2 linked regions of the Cricetulus griseus genome follow. The protein of the gene in region 1 interacts with the protein of each later gene in a pairwise test. Links are inferred from orthologs where the notes say so. Each region holds a gene or a part of one and is shown in the gene's direction. Other genes may lie near its edges.

Region 1 (10,244 bases):
ATGAAGGATGATTATGAGCCACTATGTGGGTGCTGGAAATTATTCCGGGGTCTTTTGTGAGAATAAAAGGTCTTCTAATCCATTGAGCCCTTTCTAAAGCCCCATGGACTAGCTTTTGACATACATAGCCTATTATTTCCAGATGTTTTTCTTTTGAAGATAAATGGGGCCTTGAGGTTCTTGATTCTAAGGGGTAAGAATTGTTAGCACATGCCTTGAGGAATAAATTTTAGATCATTTGTTTTCATGATCTCAGTTGGTAGCATTCATGATAAATATTTTAGTGTCTTAAAAGAAATCCTTTTTACTTACCAAAATTTGAAAGCAAAGCCTGGGTTGTCTTAACATTAAGACTATCTTTTCTCCTGGTTGGGGCTGTTTGCTGAGAACCTCATAGATGCTAAGCCTAGGTTGTACGGTTTTAAAACTTCATACTGATTTTCGTTGGTTGGAGTTTTTTGTTTGTTTGTTTGTTGTGTGTGTGTGTGTGTGTGTGTGTGTGTGTGTGTGTGTGTGTGTGTGTGTGTGTGTGTGTGTGTCTGTCCTGTTAGTCTTTTGTTTATTGCAGTGTCTCTTAAGACATCTTTGTGTAGAACATATTGCCAATTTGTTTAGTATGACTAGAATACTGTCTTTCTAGGTGCCTAATTGAATGTCGAGATGAATATAAATATAATGTGGAGGCTGTGGAGCTGTTAATTCGAAATCATTTGGTTAACATGCAGCAATATGATCTTCATCTAGCTCAGGTATGGAAGAAATTTAAGTAGACTAAAGGATTTAGGGAGTGCTTTTATTTTAATTATTATCTCTCACATTTGCTGTTTTGCCAGTCAATGGAGAATGGCTTAAACTACATGGCCGTGGCATTTGCTATGCAATTGGTAAAAATTCTGCTGGTGGATGAAAGGAGTGTTGCCCATATTACTGAGGCAGACCTATTCCATACCATTGAAACCCTCATGAGGATTAATGCTCATTCCAGAGGCAATGCTCCGGAAGGGTAAGAATGAAATGCTTTGCTTTCCTCATGCACTCAGCAGTCTCAGAGAGCTTTAGAAAATAATGTATACACTAACACTATTTTGTGACTGTTTCACGTAAATTTAGTGACATAATTTTAGTCAGGCCTTGTGTTGTCCTGAAAGTGTGAATGCTTAATCAACAGCCTTCTTGATAATAGATCTGTGCATATAGTAACTGATAAGTTGGCACCAGAAACCTGGTTTTAGCATTGGCTGTTCAGGCTGGAGATAAATGTCATGAAGTGCTTGCAGGAAGATCTAAAACCAATCCCTAGGAAGCTCCCACCCTTAAAGCCAAGTGTATTGGTGCACACTTGTAATGCTAGTGCTGAGCTAGCCACACGTCATATAGCCTAATCAGCAAACTCCAGGTTCTAGTAAGAAACTTTCTTAAGAAACAACATGGACAGATCTTGCAGAAATAATACACAACGTTGTCCTAAGCATGTACACATACATTCACCTGTCCACATAGGAATGTACACGGCACAAAACTGGTGTAGTTGTGCACACTGGTAATCTCAGCACTGGGGAGGCAGAGATAAGCAGATCTTAATGGCTCATTGACCAGCCAGCCTAGCCTATTTGAGTTTCCCAAGTTCTGATAAATGATCCAGTTGTGTATCTCTGAAATAAATAATGGTGGGTTAACTGATTTTCACTCTGAATTTATCATACTAGATTGCCCCAGCTGATGGAAGTAGTGCGATCCAACTATGAAGCAATGATTGATCGTGCTCATGGAGGCCCAAACTTTATGATGCATTCTGGGATCTCTCAAGCCTCAGAATATGATGACCCTCCAGGCCTGAGGGAGAAGGCAGAGTATCTTCTGAGGGAATGGGTGAATCTATACCATTCAGCAGCAGCTGGCCGTGACAGTACCAAAGCGTTCTCTGCGTTTGTTGGACAGGTAGAGCTTTTGGAAAGAAAGGTGCTTTTTATTCAACATAAGTAGGGTGTGATAACTCCAGTATTAAAGTTCAGTATTGTATACCTGTGGTCAGAATTACCTCCATATTCATGCAAAAATATCATCATTGTGCTCTGTTAAGTTGATATGGCCTATGTGTTTTTTTTTCCTCACTATTGATCATACATACTATAAATTCACCATTCCTACTCCAATAGTTCTATTTACCCCATTCCAGTTGTCATAGCTATAATTTGTGGTAGGTCATAATATGAATAACAAAGCCACAAAATATTTTTCTAATAAAATAGTCAGTGATAGATTTTAAGCCAATACATGAAAAATTTTAGAATATGTGCATATGTGGTTTTTTAAAGACAGGGTTTCTATATATACTCCTAGCTATTCTGGAACTCATTTTGTAGACCAGACTGGCCTTGAACTTACAGAGATCCACCTGCCTCTGCTTCCCAAGTGCTGGGATTAAAGGCGTGAGCCACCGCACCTACCTAGCACATTTTAAAAACAAGATACAACAAATCCCCTTTTAGTGGCAGAGTATTTTTATTATATTTTCTCTAGTATATCTGTTTATTGAATCTGATGCAAATTAAAGTTTGAGAGTGTTGGAAATTGAACTGCTTTCTAAAAGTCTAAAAGTAAGAGGCACCATGGCCAAGGCAACTCTTAGAAAAGAAAGCACTTAATTGGTTTGATTACAGTTTTCAGAGGTTGGAGTGTGGTGGCATGTATGGCACTGCAGCAGTAGCTGAGAGCTGCATCCTGATCCACAAGCAGAGACACAGAGAGACATATTGGGCTTGACAGACTTTTGAAACTGTGGAGCTACACAATCTTGTAACATTGTCTCAAAAAAAAAAAAAAAACAGTCCCTCTCTAATGACACACTTTCTCCAACAAGGGCAAACTTCCTAATCCTTCTCAAACAGTGTTCCTCCCTGGTGACTAGACATTCAAATATATGAGTATATGGGGCCATTCTTAGTCAGACCACCACACCAAAAATAAATCGTTATGGTGAGCTGGAGAGAGGGATAGGCAGTTAGAGGACATATTTTGTGCTGTTCCTGCAGAAGACTGTAGTTCCACATGCCAACTGACTGACTCCAGCTCCAAGGATATTCTGTACCTCTGGTCTTTGCAGATCTCTGCACTCTTGCACACATCTGTGCCATTGAACACAAGTGCACACCAACAAGCATGCCTGAGCACTCAAATACAATAAAAATAGTTAACAGAATAAACTGGGAATAGTCAGGGTCCATTTTGTATTCTGTCTTTGTTCATTACTGGCTGTTTACAGTGATGTGAAAAACATGAAGAATTAATGTCCTGACTGTAATAGAACTTGTCAGGAATAGTACTTCCTTGAACTGGCCTTAGAATTTCTTTAATAAAACTGTACAATATTTGTTCAGTAAGCTGTAACAGTTGACTATTCTGGTTTTTTTTTGTTGTTGTTCCCATTTCCTCAAATTGAAACCAAAAGTTGGTGTCTTACCAAAGAAATACCACTTAGGTCTAGTTTTTTTAAAAAAAGATTTATTTATTTATTATATATACAGTGTTCTGCTTCCATGACAGAAGAGGGCACCAGAGCCTACAGCAGATAGTTGTGAGACACCATGTGGTTGCTGGGAATTGAACTCAGGACCTCTGGAAGTATCCTTAACCTCTGAGCCATCTCTTCAGCCCACTTATGTCTATTTTTAAATACCCGACAATTAAGTGTGGGTGAACTAGTTAATTAGTAGTTTGGAGAGAGACCGTTTAGCTGTCAAAGGCTAGGCTCACAACCCCAAATATAAGAATTGGATATACTTTTCAGCATAAATGATACTGGTAAACTATGTCGTGTAAATTTCTTCTGATTCTCAGTCCATTGGAAGAAATTCAGATTCATGGCATTTTGTGGGCATTGTTGTGTTGTGGTTTTGATGTGGCTCCTGTGTTGCTGCCTTTTTTGAGACAGTGTTGCTGTGTAGTTCTGCCTGACTTGGAACTCACTTTGTCCACTAATATTAACAGTATAGAATATCATTACATTTAAATAACATAATTTTGAATGTTTATTAAATAAATGATTTTTCTGCAGATGGCTAGAATTTCAAAAGCTTTGCCATTGGTTAAATAAGAGGAGGGTGTCTGTGAGACATGTACGTTATGGGAAGTTAAACGTACGAGCAATTGAGTCTCCCTGGGAGAACAATTTAACACCTTGAGTTTCTGAAACTTAGCTTTATTTATATAATTTTTCTAGATTGTTTGGAGATACCCTCTTGTTCAAGGTTTATAATATAGTGTCTCTTTGTCAATTTCATTCTTCTCCATGAAATTAAAGCTGGGAGGAACTCTGCTGTGGCTCTTAATAATAAAGGAGTCATTTTCCTAATGGCATCCTTCCACACAGTAAGAATTAGAAATGGAAATAGAGTATGGCTATTTGAAAGCTAACATGTGTAAAGCTGATTTTGAGTATGGTCTCACTGTCTTGGTTGTTTGTTCCCACTGTAGATGCACCAACAAGGAATACTTAAGACTGATGACCTCATAACAAGGTTTTTTCGTCTTTGCACTGAAATGTGTGTTGAAATCAGTTATCGTGCTCAAGCGGAGCAGCAGCACAATCCTGCTGCCAATCCCACCATGATACGAGCCAAGTGTTATCACAACCTGGATGCCTTTGTCCGACTCATTGCACTGTTAGTGAAGCACTCTGGGGAGGCCACCAACACTGTCACCAAGATCAATCTGTTGAATAAGGTTGGGAGTCTTTTCCTGGACCCTTAGATTTTTGTGTTCTGTGTTGTTGTTTGAGACAGTGTCTTACTGTGTAGGTTTGGCTGGCCTGGAATTTACTGTGTAGATAAGGCTGTTCTCAAACTCTAGCTGTAGGTTTTTTCCATCCAAAAATGAAATATAGAAAAGAGTATCCACAATAGTTAAAAAGGTGCTGAAGAGAAGAGGAAAGAGAGAGGATCATAATGTATTTTGGTGTGTTGGTGCTTTGATGATGATCCCAACAGGCAGCAGGTTGGTAGTGTCTTCCTACCTCCAATTGCTGTGTCTGGTCTGGATGGGTAGACCAGTACCAGGAGTGGCATTTAATTATTGACCTGATTTATACAGTAGGATTCTTGAAAAGTTGAATGTCAAACTCTAGTTTGAGAATGTATAAAACTTGGCTGTAGACTTTGCTCTTGGAGAAATACAAGTGGGTCCTTAATGTACCCCCACTGATCAGTGAGTAAAAAGTGGAATGCAGACCTACTTATGTCAAGAGGGGTGAGAACCATTTGTCCCCTGTGGACATTGGGTCCCATTAGAAGACTTAACATTGTGGTATTTTACTGTGATGAAACGTGAAGAGACATCCTGTTTTCTAAAGCTTTAGAAAAACCAGTGGCACCTGTGGAGAATATAGAAGTTTGATCTAATGATAATGAAATTCAAAGAAAACACACAGAGGCAAATATCTCTTTGACTGCCCACATACAAATTTGTGTTCAGATGGCATGTATCTTTTCCTTCATTGTTTGTAGTACTTAAGAGTGCAGGGTAAACCAGTCCTGGTGGTGCAGTCCTATAAGTGTTTGGAAGACTGATTAAGGCAGGAACATCACAATGAGACTTGCAAACTCAAAGCCAGCTTTTGGAAATATTAGTAAGACCTTGTCTCAGAAAATAAACAAAAACAAGCCTGAAGATAGTACTCAAGCAATGGAATACTTGCCTAGCATTTGTGAGTGTGAGGGCCTGGTTTCAACCCAAGAACAAGATAGAAGAATCCTGATTTAGCAGGACGGTGGTGGCGCACGTGCCTTTAATCCTAGCACTTGGGAAGTAGAAATGGGCAGATCTCTGTGAGTTTGAGGCCAACCTGGTCTATACAGTGAATTCCAGGATAGCCAGGGCTGGACAGAGAGAAACCCTGTTTCAAAAAACCAACTTAAATAAACAAAAATAGAGAAAAAGTCATGTATTGGAAGCAGAAAGTGGCTTGTCTGTGTGACTGATGAGCTTTACTCTGTGTTCTGTATAGGTTCTTGGTATAGTAGTGGGAGTTCTCCTACAGGATCATGATGTTCGGCAGAGTGAATTTCAGCAGCTTCCCTACCATAGGATTTTTATCATGCTGCTGTTGGAGCTCAATGCACCTGAGCATGTGTTGGAAACCATTAATTTCCAGACTCTTACAGCTTTCTGGTGAGTGTTGGGGTTTAGTAGAGATTTCCATTTGTTGTTATCTGACATGGGGTCTTACAGCTTAGATTTACCTCTAAAGTTCCTACGCTGCTGAGGCTGGTCTTGGACTCCTAATTCTCCTGATTCTAGCTTCTAAGAGCTGGAATTACAGGCATGTACACATTTAACTTGATTGTTGGTCTTTGTTTCTCGATGGTAGTTCTCACTTGGTAGTAGCGCAGGCTGTGCTGGGATCACAGGCAGTGCCATATTCCTTGCTAAGATTTAAGGACTGTTGGTTTAATGTAGTAAAAATCAAGTAGAACTTTGGTATGTTTAGGAACAAGGTGTTTTTTGTTTTTGTTTTTTAATGAAGTAACTTAACTTGCATTCATGTGTTGTTTACTATATTTAATTTTGAACTTTTTCTTTCAGCAATACATTCCATATCTTAAGGCCTACCAAAGCTCCTGGCTTTGTATATGCCTGGCTTGAATTGATCTCGCATCGGATCTTTATTGCAAGAATGCTGGCACATACGCCACAGCAGAAGGTGTGGCTGCAGTTTATCTCCTACAGATGAAGCCTGTAACTACCTGGGGCTTACTAGCACTGTTTATGTCGGTTTCTGTTAGTTACTTAGTTTATTTTTTCCAGGGGTGTTATTTGGTAATTATCAAAGGTCAAGTCACAGCATGTAAACAGGCTTATGGAGTCTTGACTCATTTAAAGCTTTCATGTATTACTCCTCTAGCTTTGTTATGCATCATCTCTGTTGGTCTCTTAATGTTTTGTGTTGTTAACAATATTTAATATGAGAAGTTTTTCATTTTGCAATTAAACTGCAGAAGAGTACTGTATATAGTACTTTCATTTGGCCCTTCAGACCAGAACTACTATGTGTTGAAGTAAACTGGACAAGAAAGTGAAATAATCACTTAATGAACTGGTTTTGTTCTATGATTTTCATATGCAAACCATGGCACACAGACACATGCATGACGTATGCACACAAAAAGATGAAATATAACTGGTATGGTTGCAGCACGTATAGTAAGCAGGCTGATGTTATAAATCAGCAAGGTTATTTACTAGGAGTTGGGAGTAAGAAAAGAAATAGTTGAGACCCAGACCTTAAGGAATTATGAAAACCAGCCTACAATTGGTTTGGTATTATATCTGAAATTTCCTCAAGGTAGTCTCCTTTTTCTTACTTAGTTTTCTTACAGGCACAAAAGCAAATGTGTCCCCAGATCTCTGGAGTCTTCTTATTCCAGAAAAAGTCATCCACTACCTTAATACTTAGTCTTTTCATTTTGTTGGATATTTGTGTTTTTCTCACCCTCCTATTATATGCTAGCTACCACACTGAGCTAATACTGCATTGAGAGGTCTTGTCACATCAGTGTTTTACGCTTAACATTAGTGTGGATAACCATAGTGTAGTGACTTGGCAACTCTTTTGTAGTTGAACAACTTGAGATGTCACTATAACTCATATACATTTCTTTCTTTTAGGGGTGGCCTATGTACGCACAGCTGTTGATTGATTTATTCAAATATTTAGCGCCTTTCCTTAGAAACGTGGAACTCACTAAACCTATGCAAATACTCTACAAGGTAATTTTTATTTATAAATAACTGAATTTTGTAACATGTGGGCTGTTGTTATTATTCTCTTACAGTTAACACACAGGATACTCAGAAAGCCTTGCTTAAGTGGAAAGTTAGTTTTCCCCCATGTTCTCTGCTAGGGTCCCCCCCCCCCCCCCCCCAACACACACACCATTTTAGCAATTTGATACAATCTCACTGAGGATTTAATTTCTATTTCCTTAATGGTTTTTTGTTTTTTAAATAATTTTTTCTTAGATTTAAGTTATGACTTTTGCATGCATGTAAATGCCCCATGTGTTTGCCTGGTACTCAGTGAATACAGAAGAGGTTGTCAGGGCCCCGGAACTGGTGTTAAAGATGGTTGTGAGCCACCGTGTAGCTTCTGGGAATCAAACTCTGCTCTTCAGCAAGAGCAGCAAATATTCTTAACTACTGAGCCATCTCTCCGGAGATGTTTATTTCTTGAGACAGAGCCTCATTATATAGCCCTGGTTTGCTTAGAAACAGGAGGTCCTCCTAATTCTGTCTTGTTCTTGCTGGAATTAAAGGCATGTGTCACCTGACTTCTTTACTGTGCCACCCTTTTTGTGATGTTCCTTCCAGTAGTTTGCTCACGTTTCCCTAGGATTGTTTGCATTTTTATTTTCGAGTTTTAATTGTTTTTCTATGGCTCTGGCAATCAAACTTAGGGCCTTCTTAGACATACTAGGCTATCTCAGGTTGCTAAGGAGTTCTTACCACCTGTTGATCAGAATTGTTGAATTTACTAAACTTGTCAAGAACTAACAAGCTAGCTTTGATCTCACCCCCATTTTCAGTTAATGTATTATGGCCCCTTCCTTAAATTTTGGTTTTGTCCTCTTTCTAGCATCTAAGGATAGATGCTCCATCATTGTATTGTTTTTGTGCAGAATATATTGTACTTTATATTTAAGGCACCAGCTCCAACTTTATGGTTTCTACATGTAATTATTTTTGTAATCTTAACTGTATTTATTGATTTTTTTATGTTAATAACATATACATATTTTTGACCTAAGTTAGAATTCATGATCGGGAAGAAAAAAAATACTGCTTTCTTAGTGTGGAACGTTTTTTCTTTTTATTCAGGGTACTCTAAGAGTGCTGCTAGTTCTTTTGCATGATTTCCCAGAGTTCCTTTGTGATTACCATTATGGGTTCTGTGATGTGATCCCTCCTAATTGTATCCAGTTAAGAAATTTGATCCTGAGTGCCTTCCCAAGAAATATGAGGCTCCCAGACCCATTCACTCCTAATCTGAAGGTAAAGTTTTAATAGATGGAACATGGTTGTTTTGTTTTCCTTCCTTGTTTCTTTCAATTTTAGTTCTAATCTATGTATATGTGTGTGACTTTATGTGTACCACATGCATGTGGGAGTCTGGAGAGACTTGCATAAGGTAATGAATGCCCTTGAAATAGAATCAGATTGTGAGCTGCCATGTGTGTGATGGGAACTGAAATCAGGCCCTCTAAAAGAGAGACCAGTGCTCTTAACCACTGGGCCATCTTTGCAGTTCCTAAAGGAAAAAGTTTTTATTGTGATTTTCCAGCCCCTTCTATGATAAGCAGCCTATTTGAAATCATTAAATTTAACATTCCCACCCCCAACATACACACACATATGCATGCTTTAGGCAATGGTTGTTAGGGTAGCTAATTCTGATTGGTGTGATGTTGTCCCTGAATATTGGTTCATACTATTTTTCTGGTTATCGTTTCTCATAATTTCGACCTTAAGTTTAGGTATAATTATTGAACCCTAGACTGAATGTTGGGCAATTGCTGGTCCCAAGCTGCGTTATTGAACAAAGTAATCTTTGCAATGTCTATAGTTCACAAGATTCAGTGTACATATGTTTAAATTGTTTAAGGAAAGGGACCACTTGAAAACCATTAACATAAATACTGAGAAATATATAGACAGAGAGAGAGAGAGAGAGAGAGAGAGAGAGAGAGAGAGAGAGAGAATTTTACAAAGCTGTCCTTATGCTTCTGTCTTAGGTATGATATGTTAACTTCTGTGCCCGATTCTGATTCTTGATATTTGTGACAGGTGGACATGTTGAGTGAAATTAACATTGCACCTCGGATCCTCACCAATTTCACTGGAGTGATGCCACCTCAGTTCAAAAAAGATTTGGATTCCTATCTTAAAACTCGATCCCCTGTCACTTTTCTGTCGGATCTGCGCAGTAACCTACAGGTTAATTGGTTTGACTTAAGTTTTTCTCTGCTGTGTCTTCAATACAGGTCACTTTGTGTGCACTGCCCTTTGTGTGTCATTTTCGGAGTTAGTATTTTCAGCCTGATTTGTATATTTAGAAACACTGTTGAATTTGAATGTGGCAATACATACCTGTTTCTTTGGTGTGCTGAGGAAACTGAGGAAGATAGATCACGAGTTTGTAGACAGCCTGAACTACGACGGCATCACCTCATCTCCCAAAACATGCCCACCCT
Region 2 (6,972 bases), on another chromosome or scaffold:
TTTTCCAAAGTTATTTTCAGGTAATCATTTTATATGATTTTTGTAACTTCAATTCAATTAAGTGTGAGTTTATTACCACTGATTCTTCACTAAAATTATTGACTCTACCTTGAGTGAAAGTGGAACCATAGAAAAATAATTAAAAAAAAAGTGAAATGAGAAAAATGATTTAAAAAAAGTGAAATGAGGGCTTTTTCACTAAGGGATCTCAGATTTTAAAACGTGAGTTTCTTTCCCTACTCTTCCCTTTTCCGTTTTTAATCCTCCCCTCGCGCCTTTTGCTTTCGGGCCTCAAGTGTGCCAGACCGCACTACCACTGTGGTACACCCTACACAGGTATTTTAATGCTGGATTCGAAATTTTGTTTCCTTCCACTTCTCCAAACCCCAGCACGTGCACAGGCGCCGGGACGGGGACGGGAGATCGGTGGCCCTGCTCACTGCAGTTCCCAGCCTGCGGCCCAGGGCTGGGTGCCGAGGAGGTGTCAGCATTTGTAGGACTGGGTGAAGAAGAATATACTCGCCATAAACAGAACCGACCGCCCCGGGACAGGCAGCCAGGCGAGCGCAGCCAAGCGCGGGCCTTGGCTGTTTAGGATCTGCTACTCCGGCGCCGGATCGGGCTGAGGTTTTGCATCGGGCTCTCCGGGCGGCGTGTGTTCGTGCACGGCTGGGCGGGCTGGGCCAGCCGCTCGCACCGGCGGCACGCGCTGTCCCCGCGCACCTGGCACTCCGGGGGATCTCCTCCCTGGAGGTCTTGCCGTAAGGACGAGCTGCAAAGACCGGGAGACCGAGGACGCTCACTCTTCCCCGGGAGCATCCAAGCCTCTGTGCGGTTCAAATCCCGCGCCCTCGCAACCCTCGACCCCATTCCTCCTCCCCCTCCCCAGCGCCCCGGCCCGATGCTACCTCTCTGCGAAGGGCGGGGCGGATAACACCCATCCCCGCTCCCCGCAAACCCTCAGCTAAGTGTCTCGGAGCTCTGGCTTGCTTCCTGCATCTCAGCAAACGCTAATGAAAACCGCCGACCACATGACACAGCAGCCGCACACGAGGGCAGAGGAGGAAGCAAAACAAGAAGAAAGCCGGCGCTCCAGCAGCCACGTGAGGCGAGGAACTCCCGAGCGCCCGCTCCACGGATGACTTCAATTCCCGGCCTGCCTCGGGGCGGCCGTCCTCCGGGGACTACAACTCCCAGGGTGCAGCGGACCAGCCCGCCGCAACCTCCCACTCGGCCGCCTGCCGCTCGTCCCGCCCCTCCCCCGCCCCGCCCAGCCCGCTCGGCATGCGCCTGCGCACCGGAGGCCGGAGGAGTCTTACCCTAATGTAAGATGGTGGCCCGTCTAGCTGTGGAACCCACCGAAAGCTGAGAGTCTCTCTCAGCCGTAAAGGTCGGACTCGCTGAAGCAGTCAGGCCCGCTTCTGAAGAGTTATTTCGCCGGCTCTCGTTCATTGGTCTCCTGTGAGGACGCGGCAGCGCGTGGAGTCGGCGAAGGGAAAAGCGAGGCAAGGCAGGCGGGTGAGTGTCTGCGGGGCTGGGCTTAGGGGAAGCCCGGGGCTGACCGGCTACGAGAGAGCGGAGGCTTCGCCGGGACTGTGCAGGCCGCACCCCCCTTTCTCCCCATCCCCCGCCTCGTCTTCACCCTCCTCCTCCTCCTCCACCTCCTCCTCCTCCTCCTCCCCCGGCTCCCTCCTCCTCCTCCTCCTCTTCCTCCCTCTCCCCTCTACGCCACAGCAGTTACCACCAGGAAAAGGCTGCCGGGCTGGAGGCAGCGCGGCGGCGAGCGCCGGCTCTCTCCTCAGAGAATTTCTTCAATTGGGGAGCCAAGAGGGCTTCTTATCGCCAGCTTTGCCCCGCATTTTTTCCGGCAACAGTACCCTTAGGTCTCAGTCCTCCTTGTTTCTCCAGTCCCCTTTCCCCTCTGACGTGCTTTCCAGCTGGCCCTGGTCTCCGAAGCCAGAACCATCCTCACTTCTACTCCGACCGGTGCTGCTGTTGCTTATTGCCCACCCGCCCTCTTTGGTGCTTGGGGTTTTTTGCCCCCCCTTTTTTTCTTTTGCCCCTCTCCACTGCCTCTGCCCTCCTCCAGTGCTTGCAGTCATGCAGTCAGCCCCCGGTCTGTCTGCCAGACCCGGCTGATTCCGAGGTGCAATCAGTCTCCTTTAGCCACATCAGTCATCCAAAAGCCTCCCCGTGAGTATCTAAATTATGTTGCTGCCCGGTTGCTTCGGTGTAACCCACCTGTTTCTCAGCCTTCTTGAGTAGAGTCGATTCCTTTCCTCTTTCCAATACAGATTCTTTCAACACACACTTCCAGAAAAGGGGAGATGCCTCTTGTTGTTCCTTGAAAAGTAGAGGAAGTTGGGAAGTGAATGAAGTGAGGTGAGGTAGGGTACTGGATCTTTCTTCAGGCTACCCAGGAATTTTTTTTTTTGCATCGTGTGATCTTTTTGTTGCTCATTCACTCTGTTGGACCATGGCTTTTTACTCTCTCTCTCTCTCTCTCTCTCTCTCTCTCTCTCTCTCTCTCTCTCTCTCTCTCTCTCTCTCTTATTTTCGACCTTCTCCATGCCACTCAGCATTCTCCTGAATTGCCTTTCCTCAGGACACTTGATTTGGACGCTGATTATACCCATAAAGAACAGCTTAGCATTTCAAAACAAGATGAATCTGGCTCTCACGAGCGAGAGCAAACACACACACACACACACTCTATGCAAATACAAATGGTATTTTGATCATATGTGTGTTACGGATTCCTTTTATATTGAGAATAGATTATTAGCCACATCATAATGATGTTTAGGTTAATTGATAACATTTATTTGTGATTTGGGTGGAGATTTCCTGGCTAGTGTAAGATTGACCTTTTTTTTTTTTCTCTTTTGATCTGGGAAGTTCCCTCTTTTGACATTTTTAGGATAGGAGTTATCTGAATAAGTTGTGTGGAAAAATATATTGGGTATGTATGCAAAAGAGAAGTTGATATTTTGGGGTAAACTTAAATTCATTTTTTTCCCCATAGAAAAGAAGGGGCTGAGAGAAGTCAAAAAGCTGTGCATATACAGTGGCACTTAGCTGTTGTCACCTATAGTAAGAACTAGAAACCCAAGGGCATGGTTTAGTGAAAGCACAATTGAAATGTACTTGTTTTCATAAAGAAAAGTCAGAGCCATTGCTATAATGCACCCCAGTGAAATAAAGAATTGCCAGAAAAGCAAATAGGGTTATGTAGGTCAGATACACACATGTCAAATTTGAACATAACACATATATATTATATATACATTAATATATATGCAATCTAGATAGTGGTGACGCACACCTTTAATCCCAGCACCCAGGAGGCAGAAGCAGGTGGATCTCTGTGAGTTCAAGGTCAGCTTGTTCTACAGAGCAAGTTCCAGAACAGCCAGGCCTACACAGAAACGTTGTGTAGAAAAAGTGTTTGTTTTGCAAACATATATGTTTGTTTTGTATGTGTATGTATATATATATATATATATATATATAATATATATATATATATATATTATATATATATAAAATATTTAAAGTCACAGTAACAGCCTTGATGCAGTTTGTCTCTTATTGGGAAAACAGTAAAAAACACTTTACATGTAAATACAAAAGTGTCCTCTAGACACTTTTGCACATTACCAGGTTATTGCTTTACATATTTTACCTATAACATTTGAGTATTCTTGTATTTGATATTACATTCTGTTATTGTGAAACAGTCTTTAAAAATGTAAACTAAGGTTAGAAAAGCTGTTCCTAAAGCTTACTTCTTTCAGCCGGGCAGTGGTGGCTCATGCCTTTAATCGAAGCACTGGGGAGGCAGAGGCAGGCCGATTTCTGTGAGTTCAAGGCCAGCCTGGTCTACAGAACTACACAGAGAAATCCCGTCTGGAAAAACAAAAAGCTTGCTCCTTTCTTCTCTCTCTCTCTCTCTCTTTTTTTTTTTTTTCCTCCTTTTCATTTTTAGGCATGGTCTTTGTGTAGCTCTGACCTGGAATAAGCAATATAGATCAGGCTGGTCTTGAACTTGTATTGATCTTCCTGCCTCTTCCTCCTGAGTGCTAGGTGTGCCCTCCTATGCCTGGCCTACCCCCCCCCCCTTTAGCCATTTAAGCCCCTATTTGGCAAAATTGAATAAATCCCTATTCTTCTGAGAATTGGAAGCAATTTTATATAGCAAACCTTGTCTTTCCTTGAAGTTAAAAAAGAAAACTTTTCATTTAGTTTATCAATAACTTGTCTTCAACTCCAAGTAAAAAATAGATGCTGGTAGAAAGCTTCCACTTTGAACAATCTTGTCTAGATACTCTTGGCAGTCATACTTGGCTGAATTGTAAGCAGTATGTTCTGAGGAGAGGACTGTTTGTCTGATAGAAGGGGTGAGTGAGTTTTTAATACATCTTTTCTTTTGTAAGGTATTTGGCTCACTCAGTTTCTTAAGTCATTTTTGTCTCCTCTGAGGTTATCAAATTCTTGCTTCTAGCCTTTTGAAATAAAAGTGAATTTATTTGAGATCTTTAGGATGTCTAGAGAAGATGTAAAAGTTCTTTGACAAATTGATAGGAAGTAAGTTGAATTTTATAAATATTCTTGTGTTTTTATTTGTAACATTTTCAGCATGGCAGTTTTATACTTAATGATTTCCTTTGATAGTTTTGAATTCTTTCTGCCAAGTTGAATAGTTGAAGTCTTCAAATGAATAGTTTGTTTGTATAAGATTTTTAAACGTGAGTTACTTAAAGTTGGCTTACTGTATAATTTTTCAGAAAGTTGCATAGATAAACCTTTAATTTGATTGGGATGAAAGATACAATCAAACAGCAAAATACAAAATAGAATTCTTTTGTGACATTTGTTGACTTCATTTAAATGGAAATGCTAGAGATAACTTGCACCCCATTACTTTGTTTTTGTTGTTCTGAAATGAGGTTTTAATGGTGTCGCTCAGGCTGTCCTGGAGCTGACTATGTAGGCTAAGCTGCCTTCAGGAGAACCATCCTGCTTCAGCTTCCTTAGACTGGAAATAGAGGTGTGAGCTACCCATGTAACCAGTCCTGGGTGAGCACAGAGCATTTTGTGGCACTAGGCTGGAATGTGGAGCCTCCTGCATGCTAGACAGTAGCTTTCAGGGGGGTTTATTGTAAAAAGGGTTTTTTTTTTTTTGTCTTTTTGTCGTCCGTCCCCCCCCTCCCCCCCAGACAGGGGGTTTCTCTGTGGCTTTAGAGCCTATCCTGGAACTAGCTGTTGTAGACCAGGCTGGTCTCGAACTCACATAGATCCGCCTGCCTCTGCCTCCCGAGTGCTGGGATTAAAGGCGTGTGCCACCACCACCCGGCTGACTTTGTGTCTTAAGAGAATGAAAAACAGTTTATTTAAGCAGTTTGATTTTAGAAGCTTTTTTTTCCTTCCTCTTTACTCCCTGTTTTAAGATGAAGCTGCACTCTTCATTTTAATGATTTTTCTATGTGACTGCAAGTAATACTTGATTGAACTGTTACTGTTTTTGTAGAATGTGAGATAGGTTTAATTTTTGAAAGCTTCAGTCTCTGCTGAAAATTCAAATAGTTCTGTCACTACCTATATTATTGCCTTGACGTTTTGTGAAGGAAGTTATAGTGAACTAAGTTGGTTTTGAAACAAAAACAGTAGGGAAATAGGTTATACAGGTTTTTGCCGATCTAGAAACAGAATAACTAGAATGTACTACATACATTTCCCAAAGGATTTCTTAATCTAAATGGAACTTGTAAATGGTTTTCATCCCACCGGAATAGCATGTATCAGATGAAACTTAGTAACACATTCTAAGATTTTATAAACTTTCTGTTCCCTCAGAGTTATTAGGAAAAGTCTACAAATACCCATTCTTGAAAAGAAAGTTGTTGTAATCCTGGCAACTTAAAGACATAATGTATTTTTTTCTTCAAAAATTGAGACTGCATGAATTAATGATAGTGTAATCTACTTCTTTGATCAAGTTGTGGGTATTTACACATTTTATTTCAAAATATTAATCTCATTTTTTTAACTTTAAAGTTTTTAAAAAAATTTTTTTTTTTTTGAAACAGGGTTTCTCTGTGTAACAGCTCTGGCTGTCCTACAACTCATTCAGTATACCAGACTGGTCTCAAACTGACAGAGATTCACCTGCCTTTGCCTCAAGAGTGTTGGGGTTAAAGGCTTTCACCATTAAAGGCCCCACCCATTTTGTAGACTTCTTTAGTTGAAAGATTGTGTGATAAAATGCCAGCTTTCCCAAATGTAGTAATCTAATGGGGTCTCCCACATTATTCTTTCATAATAAAAAAAATGGCTGTCTTTCTGTGTGTGCATTTGTCTGTTCACACAGATTCATGTGTGTAGGTATGCCAACAGCTTCATGTGTCAACTTTAGGAATGGGAACAGAGTTTCTCATTGACCTGAAACTCACCAAATAGGCTAGATTGGCTGGCTTCCAACTCACAGAGATCCGCCTGCCTCTGCTTCCACCTCCGGAGTGCTGGGATTAAAGGCATTGCATGTTTTTTTTTTTTTTTTTTTTTTTTTTTTTTTTTTTTTTTTTTTTTTTTTTGTCAGAAGAGGAAAGCCTAAAATAAAAGATATATGAGTATAAGGCAGTCTGAAATGATTTTCTTTTTTGTCTCAGTGTATTTGTGAGGATGGCTCCTTTATTAAGCTGTTTATATAGGAAGATTTCTCTCTCTCAAGGTTTACTTGTACTAAATGATAGATAGGTAGTTGATGTACTTACTATTACTAGGTGTGCCTTACTATTTGAATAGCATATGTATTAGATATCTCTTCAGAAACATATTGTTTGATATGGTCACTAAATATCTCATCTATTAAGTTAAGCAGTTATGGAATAGAATTAGGAATCAAAATGGTCAAGTTGACTGTGCGCAAAACCAGTGTGTATAAACAAAGCTCAAATATCCAGTGTAGTGGTA

The links. The genes of interacting proteins can lie anywhere in the genome.
Region 2: the proteins of Cnot1 (region 1) and Cnot4 interact in a two-hybrid assay, tested with the Homo sapiens proteins (3 studies listed by BioGRID and IntAct, with this or other methods). The link is inferred for Cricetulus griseus from reciprocal best matches to the Homo sapiens genes CNOT1 and CNOT4.

Annotation. Positions count from the first base shown.
Region 1 is NC_048596.1:171,916,641-171,926,884, reverse strand, and holds part of Cnot1 (CCR4-NOT transcription complex subunit 1), read left to right. Parts: intron 1-640; coding exon 641-749; intron 750-833; coding exon 834-1,003; intron 1,004-1,706; coding exon 1,707-1,959; intron 1,960-4,473; coding exon 4,474-4,722; intron 4,723-6,001; coding exon 6,002-6,165; intron 6,166-6,579; coding exon 6,580-6,697; intron 6,698-7,662; coding exon 7,663-7,764; intron 7,765-8,871; coding exon 8,872-9,045; intron 9,046-9,837; coding exon 9,838-9,987; intron 9,988-10,244.
Region 2 is NW_023276806.1:192,809,978-192,816,949, forward strand, and holds the start of Cnot4 (CCR4-NOT transcription complex subunit 4), read left to right. Parts: upstream 1-1,285; 5' UTR 1,286-1,518; intron 1,519-6,972. UniProt on the Homo sapiens protein: Has E3 ubiquitin ligase activity, promoting ubiquitination and degradation of target proteins. Involved in activation of the JAK/STAT pathway. Catalyzes ubiquitination of methylated RBM15.